Diceros bicornis minor: one gene and its partner. The protein of the gene in region 1 purifies or fractionates together with the protein of each later gene. This does not show direct contact. Links are inferred from orthologs where the notes say so. Each region holds a gene or a part of one and is shown in the gene's direction. Other genes may lie near its edges.

Region 1 (10,464 bases):
GCTAGAGAACTTCCATCCATTTTAAGATTGGAAGAGAATATTTCCTGCTTCTATGCAAATCACTGGACTGTTTCCCCTGAAGTTTTTGATTGCCAAAAAACTCATATAGGATGGAGGAAAATAGGAAGAAAACAGCAGGAGCTCATCATTCATTTAAAAATACAAGACAAAACAGTATTTACAGTATGCCAGATATGGTGCCAGGGATACAAACATGAAGATATAGGATCCTTGAATTACAAGCATTTATAGTATAGAAATAGGCATGCAAATACAATATAGTAAAGTAATACCACTGTTATAACCACATAAATATCTTTTGAATTGAAGCAAAAATAGGAAAAATGTTTGAAGACAGTAGCAGTAAATATGTGTATTGATAAACACTGTAGGAATATTAAATGATGTCCACTACACACCTACATTGAAAAGCCAAGAAAATAAGCCAAAACTCTCAAGTACTGTAGAGCTAATGAACCATTGAAGTAAGTGACCTTTGTAGATTTCTGTGCATCCTACCTAATTTTTAATTCCATGTACTTAATTGTGTTTTGCAGTTTCATTAGGGCATTTTTCCTCAATCTGTTAATTTTGAGGAAGCTATTATATATGTATGAATCAATATATTAAAGTGTATTTCTTTTCAAGTCTTGCCAAAGTGTTGCAAAATACTGTTTTAAGATATTCTGAAATGTGAAAAATATACACTTTAATCCAACAATTTCACATTTTCTATTTAACCTTTATCTTGATGTCACAGAAAAAGAAAATGTTAACGATAACTCACGAAATAATATTGGTAAACATTCTTACATGACAGCAAAGTAATGAGTATTGTCCTTCTTTTTAAAAACGGCACCACTAGAACCACATCTAGGCATAAAACAATGTTGCAAGCAACCTTATGATGCTGCAAAGGTGGCAGAGCACCTGGTCCAGGTGCCTGGTTAAGAGGAGGTAGGGAGGCTGAGAGAAGAGAGGCTGAGAGCAGGGAAGAAGGCTGGGCTAGATCCACTTGGGAGATGGCTAGGAATGGAGATCGCCACAGATAAACTGACTGGGGTGATGGATGTCTGGTGTTGATATCACATACTAGCCTAACAACAGCATATGGCCTTTTAATTTTCTTTTCTTTCTTCCTTTTTTTTTGGGGGGGGTGGAAAAAAAAGAAATCGACAAAAAAATGACACCTCTCCATCTTCTCCCCCAAATTGGCATGGGATATACACATGCAGGGCACAGATAGCCCAATAAACATATATAAAAAAAGAAGACACTAAATGGTCAAAGAAATGTAAACTAAAGCAAGAGAGTGTGGTAGAATGTGGGAAAAAGTCATTCTCACATACTCCTTTTTTTTTTTTTTTTTGCTGAGGAAGATTTACCCTGAGCTAACATCTGTGCCAATCTTCCTCTATTTTGTATGTGGGTCACCACCACAGCATGGCCACCGATGAGTGGTGCAGGTCTGTGCCTGGGAACGGAACTAGGGCTGCTGAAGCAGAGCATGCCAAACTTAGCCACTAGGCCATGGGGCCAGCCCTGCGCATACTACTTTTAGGAGCGTAAATTGGTGAAATCATTTCTGAGGGATATTTTGGCAACATGAATCAAAGCTTTTTAAGGGTGCACGCCCTTATCCTAAGGAAATAACGACAGGTGTGTAAAATGTGTACATGTGATATTTATGTAGCTTTACTTGTAATAACAAAAAAAAAAAAGAGGAAAACTTCCTTGAAAAATGGAGAAGCAGTTGAATTATGGCTCATTCAGCTGATGGAATACTTGTAGCTGTTAGAATAATCATCTAAATTTTAGTTGATTAACACAAAAATGTGTTCATAACACAATTGTAAGTAAAAAAGGCATAAAACATACCTATATGTGTTGTGTGTGTGTGTGCGTGTGCTCATGTCTAAGAAGGTCTAGAAGAATATATGTGAATATGAAGATATTAATAAGGTTTATCTCTGGGTGATACCTATGAATAATCTTTACTTCTTTATTGCTTTCCACATTGTAAAACTGTTTGTAATGACCATAAATTACTTTTATTTTGTTTTTGGATCTCAGGTGCAGAGAACTGAGTATTAACTTCTTGATTCATAGCATGCTACCATTGCCAGTTTTAACAAGGCCCCTCTCTTGTTTTAATTTATTGTTTCTTTTGAATTTGATAAACATGAATTACTATTAAAACCAGAACAAACAATAAAGCTTATACAAGGGGAGCAATCAAGGACCTTTACTCTGAAGTCTGTAAGAAGAGTGAGGGTGTCAGATTCTAGCCACGTCACTGTCCAGGGATGAATTGTAAATTGTTCACCTTCTCACCTGATGTGAAGGGCAGAGATATTGGTTGGTGGAATGTTTGGTTAGTTCTTGGAATGTTTGGGTTATAACTCCCAGCCAGGTTCCAACTAGTGAACTTTTGGGCTTAGTATAGCACACCACGAAGAGTGGCCATGAACAGATGTGGAACCAATGAAAAGAACCTGGCTTGGCTTGGAATCTTGGCTTGGATCTGTGTGTTAGTCTGCCAGGGCTGCCATAACAAAGTACCACAAACCAGGTGGCTTCAACAACAGAAATGTATTGTCTCCCAGTTCTGGAGGCCAGAGGTCCAAAATCAAGGTGTCGGTGAGGTTGATTCCCTCTGACGGCTGTGAGGGAGAATCTGCTCCAAACCTCTCTCCCAGCTTCTGGCAGCCTCAGCTGTTCCTTGGCTTGTAGATGGCGTTCTCTCTGTGTCTTCACAGTCTTCCGTGCGTGAATGTCTGTCTCTGTGTCCAAATTTCTCCTTTTTAAAAGGAAATGCCAATTATATTGGATTAGGGCTCACTCTAATGTCCTCATCTTGATTATCCCTGTAAAGACTCTATTTCCAAATAATCCCAGATCATCTTGGTGTGGCGGAAAGAATATGGGCTTTGCAATTACACTCGGGTTTGAATCTTGGCTTCACCACTTACTAGTGGTGTGACCTTGGGAAAGTAATTACTCAGGACTTGTTTTCTCATCTGTATAATGGGTATATACTGTTGCTAGAATGTACTGGATAAGCGGAGGCTGTTATTATCTGTGAGTTGGGCAGGTCTTTGCTCTTAGAGGTTAACTTCTATCAATAGATACATCTGTAACACATCTGTCAGTGATCTGATAGGGAGATTCTCAGATGACAGCAAGGATTTAATCACTGAATCCTGTCAACACTAAACTGGCATCTGTACCAGAGTCCTTCCTGCCTACATGTGTTTACTTGTTTGGAGCAGCGTAATTTACAGGTTACTTTTTAGGTGAAGCCTAGATAAAACTATTTTACAGCATTCCAACCTGGACATGACAGTTCATTGATCAATGTTGTGTAAGGCTGTCACACTGGGGGTGGGGGGTTGGAGTTGGGAGGGAAGGGGGCAACCTTCTAGATATGATCAATGTCTTCTATTATTTCATGATTACAAGCTGGAGATTCTGCCTCACCCTGATAATCTTCTAGACTGATTTGACTGAAGACAAGGGTACATTTCTTGAGACATTGTCATATTCTTTGCAGGTTACCTAGAAGATTAATTATGCCAGTTTCCTTATCACCACCAAAAATTTGACTCAAATTTATTTTAGTCTTAAAGGTTGCAAATCCTTAATTGATCTGATAGAAGTGAAAGTGTGGTGAATGGGGTGGGGGCGGGGAGCAGGGAGGAGGGAAGCGGGAGGGAGGAACGAGTTGGTTGCATAGGTGGAAGCGAGCTTGGGAGGAATCAAGGTAGAGATCTCTCACCTCAGTAGGGACACCCTTGGCCACCTCCTTCGAAACAATCAAGTTGAATGTAGACTTTACCTTAGCAGGGCAATTTTGAAGCAGAAATCCAAAAGAACTTCTGACAGGGCAACTTTTGATACCACGTAGAATCAGTCAGAATTAAGCTATTTGCCAGTCTACTTTTTGCATAATTTACTTTAGATTTACTCTGATTTCTTTCAAGACCTGTGCTAGTCTGAATGGTTGCCTTGGTATGTCAATGTTCTAATAACTGTAGGAGGGAAACATTGGTTGGAAATCATTTAAAGCCGTGTCTTTCCTTGAGTAACATACGATAGAGACCTGTATTTGTTATGGTGGTGTTTTTCTCTACACCTAAGATTGTATCTGTTGCTACTGTATTTGTGAACAGCTCAAGCTAAAGAAAAAATTGATATGAACACTATCATAAGATGGCAAAATCAAGGTTAGAAATCAATCAGTGACTTGCTGTAAAATGATATCTCTATATATCCTTTTTAGCGTAACATTTATTAAAGTCCATTTTATTAGCATAGGTACAAAACACAATTTTTCCAGTGGCTGTCCGCTCATTACAAAGTAGCCAGCACTGCATGGCTACTAGCATCCCTAGGTTTTAATGCCTGGGGAACACACCTAGCAATATTCAGCCAGGCAGAAGGGGTAGACTGAATACAAATAAACGAAAGCCAGAATGGGCGAATTAAGAATCTGGAAGCTGAGATGGTGCATGAAAAAGAAAAACAGAAAAACAGGGAGTTGGACAAGGATACAGTAACCGCTCAAGAGGATTAATTTCAGGGGCATTCCGATGGAGAAGGCAGGCTGCGCCCAGAAAGGTGGGGAAGGGTTTGAAATAGCTGGGAGAGCCTGGGAGAGCGTGCACAGCCTAAAAAGTTTTCATGATGGCTCCGTCCATGATTTCTGAACGCTGGCATTGGTTGCTACGAAAACCGAGCGGCATGATTTAGCCAAGGTGTCAGCCGCAGGGGCATCCCGGATTCGGGCGAAGCGTCCGGAATTCCTGAGATGTCTGAAACGCGGAGGCGGCCGCTTCCCCACCCCCAGCCGCGGCCTCCGTGGGCATTTTCCGGCGAGGGGGGCACGCGAGCCCTTCGAAGAACAGTTCAGACGCGCGGACGTGCGCAGCCAGGCCGCCTGACCCCGGCCAGCGCGCTCCCCAGGGAGCAAGGTGAGCGCCCCCGGCCCGGGCGCGCGGGGTGGGCCGCCCGGGGCCCCCTCCCCCCGGCGCGGGCGGGGCTGCGGGCGCACAACGCGGAAGCGCGGGGCTCCGGGGGCGACGGCGCGGAGGCCGCGCGCGCTCCCCGGGCCGCAGTCGGCGCGCGCGCGGGCGCGGCGGGCGCGGGGCGGGGCGCGGCCGGGCGGCCGCGGGCGCTCGCGCACAGGCCGGGCAGGCGCCTCGCCCCCCTTCCCCTTCGCCTTCCTTCCCTCGGCCCGGCCGGCCCCCTCCTCTCCCCTCCCCCGAGCGAATCACGCGCCCTCCTCTGACACTCGTAGCGGGCCCGAGCTCCGAATTTATCCTTCACGTGACCTGAGGGGGTTGGGTGGTTGGTCGGGGACGCAGAGGGAGAGGGAAAGGAGGGAACGGAATCTGCCGTTGCCCGAGCAACAGGCCCCGCCCGCCGGCTTGGGGCCGGGGGGGCGGGAGGAGGACGTCAGCACGTCAGCCGGGGTTTTGCGTTTTGATTGACAGTTGCTATAGCGACCGGGTCGGTCCGTCGCCATTTTGTTGGTTGGTTTTTTTTTAAACCCTTTCGCTTCCCGCCCGAATAATAATAAAAAGCCCCATTGGAGTGAGGCGGGGGTGGCGGCGGCAAGAGCGGCGGGGGGATCCGGGGAGACTGCTGCCGTCGCTGCTGCTGATCGCAGCCCAGGTCGGGCTTAGGGAGCGGACACCCCGAGCGGGGGGTGCGGGCGCCGCCGCCGCCGCCGCCGCCGCTTCTGCTGCTGCTGTTCCTGCTGCTGCTGTTGGTGCCGCTGCCGCCGCCGGCGAGCGGGCGGGACCGGTGTGAGTGTGCGAGTGTGTGTGTGAGTGAGCGTGTGCGCGGGCGAGTGTGCGTGTGTGTGTGTGTGTGTGTGAGTGTCTGTCTGTCTGTGCGGGGACTCGGGGGCGGGCGGTTCGGGCTCTCCTGGCGGAGGAGCCGCCGCCGCCGCCGCCGCCGCTCGGGCCCCGGCGCTTCTCGCTGCGCAGGTTTGGAGCGCGCGCCATTTTGTGAGATTTACAAAATCCTCCTCGGGAAGAAGCCGCCGGGAGCGGCCGCCACTCGGCGCCCGGCCTCGTCGCCGCCGCCCTCCGCGCCGGGCCGGGCCGCGCGGCCCCGCCGCCGGGAGTCGGGGTCCGGGGACTGCGGTATTTGCCGGGGAGGGGGCTGTCGCCTCCCCGGCCCCGGGCGCCGCTGGAACCGCGAGCCGGAGAGAGACTGAGGAGGCTGCGGCGCGGCCGCCGAGCCGGGAGCGCCGGGGGCGGAGAGAGGCGGCCGGGGCGGCGCTGGCTGCGGAGGCCGCGGCGGAGCGCAGCGGCGGGAGCCCGAGGCTGAGACTCACCGGAGGGAGCGGCGCGAGCGCCCCGCCATCGTCCCGGTGAGTGTCCGGCCCGGCCGCGGCCCCGCCCGGCCCGGCGCTCGGCTCCCCCCGCGGCCTGCAGCCGGGCCCGCGCCGAGGCTGGCCGGGCGGAGGGAGGGACCTGCCATTTTAGGAGGAGGCGCCGCGGCCCGGGGCCGGCCGCCGGGGAGGGAGCCCGCCGGGCCCGGTCCCGGAGGAGAGGCGGGTGCAAGCGGAGGGAAAGTTCGGAGGGTGGGAGCGGGGGCCTGGGGGCCGGAGAGAGCGCCAGACCTTCACTGGTCGCCCGAGCCGAGGGGAGGAGGTTGTCTTCCTCCTCCTCCTCCTCTTCCTCCTCATCCTCTTCCCCCAGCTCCTCCCTCGTCCCTCCTCTCGGTCCCCACCAGTGTGGGAACCGCCGGGGTTCTCCGCAAGGACAATGCACGGGCTAAGAAAATGGGGCCGGCCGCTGGGCCAGGCGCCGGGGAAGGTCGCGAGCCCGGTCCCCCCGCGGCCCTTGGGCTGTGTGCTGGGGCGAGGGCCCTCGGCGTGCTCCGAAGTTGTGCCGCGAGTGCGAGGCAGCCCGGCCGCTCGGGAGGGAGGCATGACCTCTTTAGCAGCCGGAGGAGTTGGTGGCTGGGAATGCGTAAATTATAATGGATACCTGGATATTGCCACGAAACTTGACGAGTCTCTTTACAGGCACAAGCCCACTCTCGCTTAGAGAGAGGCCCCTCCCTAGGCTGCAATAGTTAAAAATGGCACGGTTAGTGAGTGAGTGACTCCAAGTACTTGTCTCTGCCTTTCGTCCGGCCCTAGATGATAGGAAATTTGTAATCTAGGTGCGGCACTTAAATGCCAGCACCATTTGGTTCTTGAATTCCGCCCAAGTTGTCAGAAAATACACCTTATAGCATTGTTTTCACACCGATTTGGAGATGAGGACGAAGAATGCCAGGCACTCGTTCTCAGGGCTTCAAGTGTATTAACTCGCTCATACTACCGGTAGGAATTGTTACCCATTGTACAGATGGGAAAACTGAGCTGTGACTCATCCAAGGTCATACAGCTGGGACTCCAGGAGCCAGGAGTCTGCAGTCAGCCTGGCCTCTTAATCACTAGGTTATAACTCATTATAAATACTGGCGGATTTTGGAGTGATCTGTGCGTAATGACTCAGGGTTGTAACCTAGAGATTGTGTCCATGTATAGTGGTTAGCGTGGGATTAACTTTGTGGTTTTTGGAAGTGGAAAGGAAAGATTGAGATGAGGCCCTCTTAATGAAACTTGTCAGCCCCCCCACCCCCCAACTAGGGAGACAGTTTTTGAATGGAAGGAATTAAAAAATATTCTTTGGTGCGTTTTGTTCTTCACACTTAATTTTAATTATAGGCGTCATTTAAGTATTGATGAGTCATAAGAAAGTTTTGCGTAAAGTTATTATTAGTCATTTTTGTCTTTGAATACTTAGATTTCTTCTTTACATACTTTACATATGCAAAGTGCTTAAGAATGGGTATATTTAATAGTTTCCATTTCGTGACATTTTAATAATTCAGTGGAATTACCTTTAGCTTTTTTGTTATATTTCTCATATCTTGGTGGTTTAGTTACTTTGAGAGAATATTATGTTCAGATAGACTATAAACATGAGACTAGAACTAAAATTTCATGTGCTAAGATTTTAAACCGAAGAAGATAGTTTCAAAGAAGCAGCAGTTAAGACAAAAGTTTACTTGATTATAGTTAAGATGTTTAATATACGTATGACTTAGACTTCAGGTACCCCCAGTGTTTTTGGAGGATTTGCCTTGAAATAGTGGTGTTTATGGTGGCTGTCCAGATTCGTCTAAACTTCAAATTTTGCCAAAGTTAAGGACTCCTGTCAATGTCTACACAAAGTTGTATTGTAAAACTGACTATAAACAGTTGATAAGAGACGTAGGCTCAGAAGTTAATTATTCTAGAAGGTAGGGTCACCCCCGTGTCTGTAAGGTGAAGGCACACTCCTTTAAAATCTAAAAAAGATTTTAGATTTGAACAAACAGGCTTGAATGAATGAATGATCATTATTGGTAGGGGTGGGAGAGACTACGTGATCTAGTGAGATCTTTGTTATTGTTAGGAATTCGGAATTGGGGTATAAGATCATTTCTTAAACATATTTTAAAGATATTTTGGTGGGACCTATTAGAAACTTAACAAACATACAGAATTACTGTGTGCTGAGGATTCAAAAATGAACGAGTTAGTCCAGTCTTTTAGGGTCACTAACATTCGAATTAAATGAAAATATCCCATTTTAATACAATGTCTGGTTTGGGAATGTGGATAGTGAAAAAGACCCTTGGTTAGAATTTTTTTCTCCTCTAGGATATTATCTGACGTCTGCCCCTTAGTTTTATTTATGGAGAGTTACTGTGTTTGTGACTTAAAGATATGGGGGTGTGGAGTGGTAAGTGCACCAAATGGTATTTAGGGAGTTTACATAGGTTTTTATAGTGCTATGAATATTTATCTGCAAAAGCAAAATTCAGGATAACTTGTTATAACACATAATATAGAATGACCTTTGGCGTGTATTTTATTTTGAAACTACAAAAAAAGAAAATGCTAATTTGTATTGAATCTTGGCTACTACTTGAAAACAAGTTTTTTTTTTTTAAATAAAAAATAGCGTAGAAATTTAGACTGCCCAGGGATGTTTTCACATGCATGTTTATGGTTGGCGAGAATTTAGTTATGGGAAGAAAATTTGGATAGAAGTAACTTAATTATGAGTGAGAAGAGAATTGCCTTATACGTGACATTAAAAATAAGATTAATAGGAGAGATGGCTTCATTTGTGACTTTCTTGGTATTTATGATTAGGTGTGTGTCAGTTTTTCTTTGCTTTAGCATTAGGTTTTGTTTTATTTTAAAGAACTTTCACATTTCTTAGATCCACACTCACACCCCCAAGCAATTTCTCTTTTATTCCTCAAGGAAAAACCTTAACCGTCTGAAGCCAGCAAACCCCAAAAACTTCCAGAAAGTTTTAATAACGAACTTGGCTCTTCTCTCCCAAAATTTTATTAGTCTTATAGTTGTGTTGTATTCCTTATCAGTAATTTAAACTGTGAGCTAAGGCTCTCTACTTGCTGTTGAATGTTTGGTGGTTTTACCTCCAGATACTCATGTATATTTTCTATTTAGAAGTAAAGATAGTACTTGCAACTATCAAACATGGTCACTTGAAACTTGATACTAACACAGTTTGCCCTTTCAAAGTGAATTGCGTGACTTATAACTTATGTATACACGTGTATACATAGTGGTTATCCCTTTTAAGACATTTCTTACCATATGTTATTTTGACTGTTGGGCAATGTTTTGATGGCTAGAGAAATTGTGGTAACTCATAATCCAAGGCTTGCACAATTGTGCATTAAAAATTTTGGGGGGTTAAATTTGTGTTTAATAACTTGGAAAAAATCATCAAACTATTTTAAATTACCTAAAATTTCTCCTCATTTGCCCTTAAATGAAGAAATCTTTTGAAATCTTGCTTATGTCAATGCTATCATGTTAAGTGAGAGCTGTGAAGTTTACCATTGGTTATGTGAAAGTGAAATGTTGATATCTCCTGACTAAGATAATTAATTCAGGGTTCACATTAGGCACTTAAAGACAAGTCTTGTTTCCTAACCTAGTGTCTACAGGCAGCCTTAGTTCCAGTTTTTAGTATATGAAAACAAAATGATTTGGAAATATTGTATAAACCAGCTAAATGTTTTTAAAAAGTTTTGCTTTTGCTTTGAAATGCTATTTCCAGAGTTGCATAATGAGTTAAAGTTCCTTATTGGAGATAATAACTTACAGTACATTGAACATCTAAAATGATGTGATTCCTCGTAGGCATACTTTTTGCTAATATAGAACCATTTTTGCTTCTTGGCAATTGATTCTTCTACCAGAGCTATGTACCCTCTTTTCTAGAAGGTGATTTTTACAAGTTTGTATTATTGTTAAAGTTTTGAAAGATACATGTTTTTTGTTTGAGGGACGTGCTCATATCTAATAAATAGTGCATAATAGCTCAAAATGTATGTTTACTCTTGATAAATTGTTTTGAGTTTTATCTC
Region 2 (10,211 bases), on another chromosome or scaffold:
AAATGTATCCCCTAACTCTGTCCACTGAGAGGGCCTGGGGGCAGCAATATCCTAAAGGCAATGAGCACAGCTAGTGTCCAGCTCTTAGTTTCTAAACAACATTCTCCATTAAAAGGAACCAGACCTCCTTGGAGAAATGGCTGATACTAGAGCGGATGCAGGGAAAGTATAAATTGAACCTGAAACATGTTGCTATGCCAGAAAGAAAAGAAATACTAAAAATGATGAATGCTAAAAGAATACGGTCATGCTGAAAGAATAGAGAAGACAACTTGAAAGGGCGCCCACTGACCACATCAGAGACATCTTGAGTATCAATATCAACCATATTAGTCATTGAATAATACTCTGACTATTACAGGAACTTATGAGTCCATACTGACATAATTAAGTAAATAAAGTGAAGGTTTGATGAGGAACGGAATATTTACATAATCTCAAACTCCCCCTCACATAAAATACTAATTACGAAGAGGGAAGAGTAATTTACAGTGGAGAAACCTGGCAGATACCACTTTAATCAAGTAATGGGACAAATGGAAATGAGCACCACCTGAGAGGATGCAGTAGGAAGAAAACAGCATCCTTTCTGTGACAGTCCTGCCAAAGATGGATACCCTGACTCTAATCATGAGGAAACATCAGACAAACCCAGATTGAGGGACATTCTGCAAATAGCTGGCCTGTAATCCTCAAAAGTGTCAAGGTCATGAAAGTCAAGAATGAAGAACTGTTCCAGATTGAAGGAGACTATAGGGACATGACAACTAAACACAACACATGATTCTGGACTGGATCCTTTTGCTATAAAGGACATTAGTTAGAAAAATGGTGAATCTTGAGTGGTGTCTGGAGGTTAGATGGTAAGAATGTATCAGTGTTCTTTTCCTGATTTTGATGGTTGTATTGTGGTTATGTAGGAGAATGTCCTTGTTAGCATGTAATACACACTAAAGTATCTGCAGGAGATGGGGCAACATATTAGCAACTTACTCTCAACGGTTGTGAAAAAAGTTCTTTGTACTATTCATGAAAATTTTCTGTAAATTTGAGATTGTTTTACAAAACAGGTGAAAAGTTATTCTTTGGAAAAACTTGAGATGGTTTCTCATAAGTCAAGGTTGCCCCTGGCATTGCTACTGTTTAATATAATATTGAAAGTTCTGTACAATGAAGTAAGAGAAAAAAACAACAAAATCAAACAAAACAAAACAAGAATAACAAAAAAAACCAACAAGGTGTAAAAACTTAAAGAGAATATATAAATCTGTTATTATTTGCAGCACACATAATTATCTCTAGAAAACCCAACAGAATCAACAAACTAGGAAAACCAAGAAAAGAGATCATTAAGTTTGCCAGATAGAAAATCAATTATATTCCTCTACAGACCTAAAGGAAACATTTGCAATGTGTCAAGTGGACACGAAGTTAATATGCAGAATATACAGTGAAATCTAATATATCAACAAGAATAAAGACAGGAAAACCGATAGGAAAAAATGCACAAAGGATATAAGTAGGCACTTCAAAGAGAGGGAAGCTCTACTGGCTAACAAGAATATGAAGTAACATTCAAACTCACTAGTAATCAGAGAAAAGTAATTTAAAATAACCCATTAGAATTGCAAAAATTAGAAAGTGGCATAATATCAAGTGTTGGAGAGGAGAGAGGTGATAAGAACTTTCAAGTAACGTTGTTGAGAGTGTAAACAGCCACAGACCTTCCGAAAAATAATCTGGCAGTACTTAGTGAAGTTAAGTATGCATAAGCTTCATGACATCGAAATTCCACTCCTGGGTATATGTCCCAGGGTAATTTTTGAACAGATTCACAAGGGGCCATGTAAGAAGATAATTCTCTAGCATTGTTTGTAGAAGTGGAGAGCGAGTAAACATGATGGATGCCTACGATGGCATCCTATGAATCTGTTATAAGCAATGAACTAGATTGTATATAGCAATAAGGATGGATCCCAGAAACAGAATTGACTGAAAAAAGTAAAAACAGAATCATAGGGCAATGCCATTTATGTACATTAGAAACACATACACCCGGGGCTGGCCCAGTGGCATAGTGGTTAAGTTCACGCACTCCACTTCAGTGGCCCGGGGTTTGCAGGTTCAAATCCCAGGTGCGGACTGATGTACCGCTCATCAAGCCATGCTGTGGCAGTGTCCCACATACAAAATGGAGGAAGATGGGCACAGGTGTTAGCTCAGGGCCAATCTTCCTCAGCAAAAATAGGAGGATTGGCAACAGATGTTAGCTTAGGGCCAGTCTTCCTAACCAAAAAGAAACAAAAAACAAAAAAAATACACTAAACAACCTGTAGTTGGTTGAATAATGCCTCCCCAAAGACGTTCACGCCTTAATACCCTGAATCTGTGAATGTTACCTTATATGGCAAAAGGGACTTTGCAGATGTGGTTAAGGACCTTGAGAAGGGGAGATTATCCTGGATTATATGGGTAGAACTGATGTAATCACAGGGTTTTTATAAGAGGGAGGCAGGAGATCAGAGTGAGTAGTAGATGTGATGACAGATGCCAAAGGTTTGAGTGATGGAAGAAGGGGCTACAAGCTAAGAAATGCTGGCAGCTTCTAGAAGCTGGAAAAGGCAAGCAAACAGACTCTCCCCTGAAGCCTCCAGAAGGAATGGAGCCATACCAACACCTTGATTTCAGACTTCTGACCTCCAGACCTATATGAAAATAACTTTGTATTCTTTTAAGCCACTAAATTTCTGGCAATTTGTTACAGCAGCAATAGGAAACTAATACACAACCCTACATATTTTACAAGCATACATGCATGGTTAAGAACATATATCAAGCACATTAGAGTGACGTATATCGGGGAGAGGAATAGGAGAGCAGACAGAGAACGAAGGAGGGGGTGATAGAATAAAACAAGAGAGGTGGCTTGCACATTGATGAAAACATTATGTTATAACCTGAGGAGGAGGATTAACTGAAATCTCCATTCACAAGGTCCAGCAAAGACAAGCAGAAGGAAGTCACTCTGACCGCTGTGTAGAAAACAGATTAGATGCCCTGATAGGAGTGACAGATATTCTGAACACTGGCTCTTTTAAAGACTTTTCTGATATAAAATCAGTCTCCCTGGTACCTTGATTCTGTGAAGGCGGTACCCTGAGGAGCAGGCATAAATATTTTGGTCATTGAGAGGTATATCACTCATGGTAAATCACTCAGTTTCTCTTACGAATTTGCTTAGTGTGAGTCAGTCCCAAAATCTACTCTGGGTAGCCTGGCAAACTCAAGCTTCTAGCTTCACAATGCTGAGGACTTGACCTGCACTGTGCTGCCTACCTTAACATCACATGAAGCCACTGTGCAGCCAGCCTCCTTCCTGGTGCCTCCCCATCCTTCAACCTTCAGCCTTATTCCTCTCTGTGTCCCAAATGCTTAACAAAGGGCCTTACACACAGTAGGTGCACAAGGCTTATTAGTAGCCATCCCTGCTGATCTAGTGGTTAGGGTCCAGCACATTCACAGTAACTGTTAGTGGAACGAGGTGACTTTCCCTTTCTCTTAACTGAGACCTCCTTTCTAGTTTTATTTCCTACTATTTCCTATGTTCCATCTACGCCCAAGGACTCACTATTCTCTCAACACTCCATATTCTTTCATTTCTTTTGCCTTCACAAGTACTATTTCTAGTGACTAGAATAGTCTTCTCTTTTTTTAAGAGGAAGTTCAAATATTACTTCTTGGAGATCTTCCATGACTCTCCATGCATTCATTTGATTAATTATTCATCCATCCATTGACTCATTCAACAAATATTGAGAACCTTTACAAGCTAGGCATAATGCAAGCCATTGAAAATATGATGGTAAGCCAAAAATAAAAGGTCACCACCCTCATGGAGGTCTAGCAGGGGAGATACAGTTTAATAAACATATTATGTTCACATTGATGAACATACAATTACCAACTGAGATACATGCTCTGAGGAAACAAACACTGTTCTTTAAGAGCACATAACAAAGGAATCTTTTTTAGATTAGAGTGGGTTGTGAGTAGAGGGCTTCAAGAGAGCCCTCTCTAAGGAAGTAACAGTGAATATCAATTTGGAGGCATGAATAGGCAAAGTGGAAGCAAAAAAGACATTCCAGACACAGAGACTAGAAGGAACATGACAAATTTGAGGAATGGAAAGAGGCAATGGAGTTGGAAAGCAGAGAACAAGAGGGAGAGTGGTACAAGATGGGGAGTTTGAGTGGGGAGAGGTCAAGGCACAGCGGTAACATGACGAGATCTGCATTTGGGGAAGATTACTCTAGCTGCTATATGGTGAATGGATTCATGTGGAGAGCAAGCGAGAATGGAGGTTGGGAGCCTCTTGCAATCCTCTACGTGAGATTAGGGTAGATTAGGGTGGTGGCAACAAAGAGGAAGACAGTAGATGAATTCCAAAGATAATTAAAAGGTAAAATTAGTAAGAATGAATAAGAGATTGGAAGAGCAGGGAAAGAATAACTCCTAGGTTCCTGGCTTGTGTAACAGGAACCACTGTAGTCAGGGGTAACATCTACCAGAGTCCTGCCAACTTGAAACCATCGCCCATTTCCCGTCTTCCATTAGGGGTTACCCCTATCCATTCTAACCAGTGTTCTAGGTTCCCTCAGTTTCACACCCCTGTCTGCCAATAACAGGCAGGTGAGAGCCCTCTCCTTCTGTGTGTTGAATGAGTTCCAACAACACTGAGTCTTGTTTCTTATCTGTGAAATACAGAGAGACCACACGTTACCGGGTTGTGAGACTCAACTGAGAAAACGACTGTTTCTTTCAATTTTTGTTATTGTTACGCTCAGTTCAATTCCCTCCGGCCCTCTCCACCCGTTTGGAGGCAGTTCCTCGTCCCAGGCATAACGTGTTTCCTATAAGTGTCTGGAATGACTTCCCCGAAGCTGGACGCCGCACTCTGCTTAGAGCGAGGTCAGGGGCTCGGGGCTGCCTCCAACACCCTTAACCGCAATCCGGACACCCACCCCTTCCCACAACGCCGCGAGAACGGTCCTTCCCTCATCAATCCCGAGACCTCGCGAGAGTACGACAGCGCCCGTTGTCGCCCGGACTCAGAGGGCCTCGCCTTCCCAGCCTCAGAACGGCCTCCTCCTTCCTCTTTCCCCGCCTTCCACTCCGCGCTCCGCTCTCGGATTGGCTGATTGAACCGGGTCAGTAATTTCCTGGCCAGAAAGCGGTTCGAAAACTAGTCCTTCTTTTGGCCCCGCCTCCGAAGCCTGCGGATTGGACGGCTGAGTCAGGTGTCAGCGCCTCCGCGGGAGTGTGGACGAGCCAATCAGGAGCTTGGCGTATTTTACAAACTGGGGAAGTAGCTGCAGCAGAAGCCGAGAGAGTCAGGGAAAAAGCGAAGGAAGTGGGGCGACCCTGAGGGGTTCCGGTGAAGGTGAGGCACGAGGATCTTGAAGGGAATGAGGGTTGTGGAGGCTCATAGGGAGGAGAGGCACCTCGGGGTCCTGGGGCGAAAGAGTAGGCTCAGGGTGTCTGGAGGTGGCTCCCAGAAGAGCGGCCTTGCAGGCACCGGGGTCTTCTGGGCGCATGCATCTGGGCGGAGGTGGGAGTATCAGGGATGTCGGGACCAATGTCGGGACTAACTGGCTGACTTTTGATCCCTGATCCTGCCTTCTTCTCCGTCTCAGTCGGAGCCATCATGACTACCCTCCAAGCCAGGAAGGATCCTCTCCCCCGGGGTGTATCTCCCACCCCTAGCAAGATTCCCGTACGCTCTCAGAGACGCCCGCCTCTCCCCACAGTCAAGTCCTGCGCCGTGGACCAGGAGAACCAAGATCCAAGGGTAAGAAGGGCCTGGTGGGTGAAGACGGTAGCTACAAGGAGGCAGTACACGCCAGCAATACACCCCAACGCTGAGCCCCAGCTTTTTGTCCTCCTCTTCCCCAGAGATTGGTGCAGAAGCTCAATGTTCAACGCCCCCTCGTTGACTCAGCAGGCCCCAGGCTGAAAGCCACACATCAAACAGAGAAATCAGAGAGATTGGTGGGGAGCACTCAGCTCCGGAACCCCTTAGAGGAGCTCAGACCTAGCCCTGGGGGACATAATGTGGAGCCTGGGCCCCCTCCCCAGACAGGTACCTGTTGGAGGCTTGAAAACTCGCTATCTCCTTGGCTGGGTGGGAGAATGGGATGGGCACAGTGGGGTTTTGGGGCTTTGAACTCCTCCCATTTCCTGCTTACTATAAGAGTCCAGGTCGCTGCTCGTGGAAAGCTCTTTGCTCTTAGAAGCCCTCTCCTTCCTTAGCAGAATGTCATCTTTTTTAAAGCCTTTTCCAGCTCCCCCAGTCACAATCAATTGCTCTGTGTTCTAATACTTTGCAGTACTTCGTTTGTAACATGTCCATCCTTTGGCTTGAGTCTGTTACCTCTCTATGGTTTGATGATAAGTTAGTGAGAATGGAGGCTTTGTCTTATTCATCTCTGGGCCCTGTGCCTAGAAGAATGTCTTGTGTAAAGTCCTGTGAACACTTGGTGAGCTGAGGTCAATTGAATGGGTTTCTTTGGCTCACTCTTGCACCTCAAGGTGACTACACTAGGGTCCCTGACACTTCAGCCTTCCCCCTTCCTGTTCCTTCTCACCTTTCCTTCTTCCCTTGCAGAGGCTCCAGGGGCCACAGAGTTTGTGGCTGACCCTGAGGCCCTGGCCACCATCCTGTCAGGTGAGGGGGTGAAGAGCTGTTACCTGGGGCGCCAGCCCAGTCTGGCTCAGAGAGTACTGGTTCGAGGGAGCCAGGGAGGCACCATCCGGAGGGGCCAGGTAATGAGACAGGAAGGATGTGAGGAGATCAGGCTGGGGTGGACTGAGAAGAGAATCTTGAGCCTGTGCTGATAGCCTCTTTTGGGGTCCCAGGGTGCCCGGGCCTCTGCATATTTGGCCCCCAAAACTCCCACCCACCGACTGGACCCTGCCAGGGCTTCCTGCTTCTCGAGGCTGGAGGGACCAGGACCACGCTGCCGGACCTTGTACCCCCAGAGGCTAGAGGCTCTGGTAGGTGCCCTGGAGGGGCTGAACTCAGTGCTTCTGGGAGCTTCTTCCAGGGACAGAGCTGGGCCCTGGGAAAGAAGATACCTTTTGACGAGCCAGAGGGGTTCTGTAGAGGCAGATGGGATTGGTGGTGAGTCCAGAAGGTTTGGGGCCCACCTCTGACTCTGCTTTTATCTCTTGCTCCTGTGGGTCAGATCCCACCTTCAGGACCTTCCTTTTACCCCTCCGCTCGCCCCAGTTTGCAGGAGCTAAGAAGAGAGACAAGTGGAAGCATCCGGTGAGAAGGCGAGGGTCATTTGGAAAAGGATGATCCAATGTCGGATACAGGGGTCCCTCAGAGCTGGGGCCTTCCAGTAGCTTTAGGACTTCCCAAGGGGAAGGGGGAACCTGTGATTGCCCAGGGTGAGCTGTTGGAATAGGGTTCAGGCCTTCATAGCCAGGCCTCAGTATGACATCAGTTTCTTCAGGTTGTAGAGGGAGGAAGGGGACAGAAATGAGAGGTGCTATCTTTTGTTTAGTGGCTAAAGCATAGACTGTAGCAATAAATGGGAATTGGGTTTGATTCCTGACTCTTACCACTTGCTAGTTATGCAAGCTTGCCTTAACCTCCGACCTTCAGTTTCCTTAATCTGCCAAATGAAGATAATGTCTGTATTGTCATTAGAGGCTGTTGTGAGAATTAAATAAGATGATGTTTGTAAAGCACTTAGCACAGTGCCCAGATCACACTTGGTACTCTGTGACTGCTAGTTGTTCTTATTATCATCAGGACTTCAGTGAGCCAGGCCTCAGGATTGCTCCTGGAGACCCCAGTCCAGCCTGGTGAGTGTGTCTGCCCGTGGGGAGAGAACAGGGGCAGGTGGGCTGTCTGCAGCAGGGAGCAAGACAAGGGAAATTTCAGCAGGCTGGAGGAAAGGGGGGAAGGCCAGATCAGAAGGAGCCAGAGAGGAAGAGACCTTCTTGATAGGCCAGAGGTTGGCTCAGTTGCACTTGTGTCAAATGAGGTGGTCCCTATTTCTACCCTCTCCCTGCCACTGCCTGCAAGATTCACGTTCCACTCACTGCTCTATCCTCAGCCCCTAAGAGCCATTGCCACACCCCTAGCCCACTCAGAGTATTCAGATTTATAAGTGATTACTGAGACGGTGCTGGGCTCCAAGGGGATGCTGGATGGGTCGCCGCCCCTGATGGTGCAATGAGGGCTGTCAAACTGGCATACCCTTTTCAGAGGAGGTTGCAATGCCCTGTGCCAGACTTGGGTGGGTGTTCCAGACACTCTAGCAAATTTTCTGTCTCCTCCTAGCTTCCTCTTTCCCTGAAGGAGAACATGAAGTTGTCACTCACTCAGATGAAGGAGGAGGGGGTCCCCTCGGTCTGGCCCAGCGGGTACCATTAAGAGAAACCCGAGAGATAACCTACACCAGGGTGAGATGGAACCCTCCTGGGATGGGGGAAGGGGGAGGGGAGATGCTTGGGGGAATTCCCCAGCAGCTGCCAGCTCTGAGGATTGTGGGTGGAGCCAGGCAGTTCTTGACCCTGGGTTTGCCCCAGATGGGCCCAAGCCCTTTCCAGAGTGGGACTAGCCTTAGTTTGCCAGGTGTCTTGGGCCTGGGGGTAAGAGGTCACAGTCCTGCATGTATTTGTATAACCATACAGTGCTGAGAGTGGACGGATCTGACACTTGTGAGCCAAAAGCATTGATTCATTCATTCACCCCACAAGTATTTATTGACCAACTGTGCACCAAGCACTGTTCTAGGTTCTGGATATACAGTAGTAAATAAGTTCACATTCTAGAAGGAGAAGACATAAAATAAACTCATATGTAAAATACATATTATGTCAGATGGTGATAAGTTCTTTGTAAAAAAAAATAAGGCCCTGAAGGGGTAGTGGAAGTGGGGGGGGGTGCTATTGCAATTTCAAATAGATTATTAGTCAGGCGGATCTCATTGAGAAAAAGACCAGAAGGAGTTGAGGGAATGAGCCATGCAGATATCTGGGGGAGGAACGTTCCCAGCCAAGAGAACTGCAGGTGCAAAGGCTCTGAGGAGGGAATGTGCCTAGGGTGTTTAAGGATCAGCAAAAAGGAGACTCCAGCGAGGCTGAAGCAGAGTAAGGAGAGCCACAGGGAGTGAGGTTAGAGTGATGACAGGATCAGACTGGGTAAGGACTTATAAACCAGTGTAAGACCTTGGCTTTTACTTGCGATGAGTGGAAAGCCATGGGGAGGGGGATGACATGATCTGATTAGGTCTTAAAAGAATCACCCTGGCTGCTGTGGTGAGAACAAGACATAGGAAGGCAAAGCAGGAGGGGCTCACTCTTCCTCTTCTTCCTCTCTGCAGGACAGCCGTGACTCCCACCTGATGCCGTCCCCTGGCCGTGTGGCGCCACCTTCCATCGCCCGTCCATCACCCTTTGGACGGGCTCAGCGTGTCCCCTCTCCTGGCCTCTCAGCTCCGGTTTGTGTCCACAGCTCCTGGGGGCTGGGCAAGGGCTGGCCGGGATCCCTGCTAGGTCTGGGTTTTGTTTCTGCTCAGCCACCCCTATCTCTTCCTAGACCTCGTATTCAGTGTTGCGGCGTCTCGCCATTCGCCCCAAAGTCCAGTACACACCCATCTCATCGGCCCCCAGAGTTCAGCGGGTAAGAGAGGGCAGGGGAGGTAGCTGGCAGAGGCCAGGGCTGGGAGAGGAAGGGAATGGATGGGTACAGGGAGAGTTAAGGGGCAAGGGGAGACTGGGCCCTATCTGCGGGTGCCTTGCTGACATCACCCTTCTGTCCCAGGCCCAGTGGTTGAGTGGCCTGTCCCCTCAGTCTTGCCCTGAAGAGCCTGCCCTGCCCTGGGTAAGTATCAGAAGCCTTCCCATGCTGAGATCCCTCACTCGGTCCTGTTGGCCTGAGGCCCAGCAGTTTGAGGCAGGTGGGCTCTCTGAAAACGCTACCTAACCTGCAACTCTTCCTGCTTCTCTGCTGCTCCTCTTAATCTAAGTCTAGGGCCTCTCAATTAGGGACCTTGGTCCCTTCCTCCTGAGGGTGGGACTCAGGCTGGTCTTCCTGCCCTAGCCTGGCTTCCTCACGTGGCCCTTGTCCTCCCCATCCTATCATATGGCAGGAGCAGATTGCAGTTCGGTTATTTGACCAGGAGAGTTGTATAAGG

What was found.
Region 2: the proteins of DYRK1A (region 1) and TROAP purify together in Homo sapiens (affinity purification with mass spectrometry; 6 studies listed by BioGRID and IntAct, with this or other methods). This does not show direct contact. The link is inferred for Diceros bicornis minor from reciprocal best matches to the Homo sapiens genes DYRK1A and TROAP.

Annotation. Positions count from the first base shown.
Region 1 is NC_080766.1:37,533,906-37,544,369, forward strand, and holds the start of DYRK1A (dual specificity tyrosine-phosphorylation-regulated kinase 1A), read left to right. Parts: upstream 1-6,306; 5' UTR 6,307-6,382; intron 6,383-10,464. UniProt on the Homo sapiens protein: Dual-specificity kinase which possesses both serine/threonine and tyrosine kinase activities. Exhibits a substrate preference for proline at position P+1 and arginine at position P-3.
Region 2 is NC_080756.1:20,359,375-20,369,585, reverse strand, and holds the start of TROAP (tastin), read left to right. Parts: upstream 1-5,364; 5' UTR 5,365-5,440; intron 5,441-5,693; 5' UTR 5,694-5,704; coding exon 5,705-5,848; intron 5,849-5,952; coding exon 5,953-6,139; intron 6,140-6,664; coding exon 6,665-6,822; intron 6,823-6,897; coding exon 6,898-7,053; intron 7,054-7,244; coding exon 7,245-7,327; intron 7,328-7,819; coding exon 7,820-7,872; intron 7,873-8,353; coding exon 8,354-8,475; intron 8,476-9,398; coding exon 9,399-9,515; intron 9,516-9,613; coding exon 9,614-9,697; intron 9,698-9,838; coding exon 9,839-9,898; intron 9,899-10,166; coding exon 10,167-10,211. UniProt on the Homo sapiens protein: Could be involved with bystin and trophinin in a cell adhesion molecule complex that mediates an initial attachment of the blastocyst to uterine epithelial cells at the time of the embryo implantation.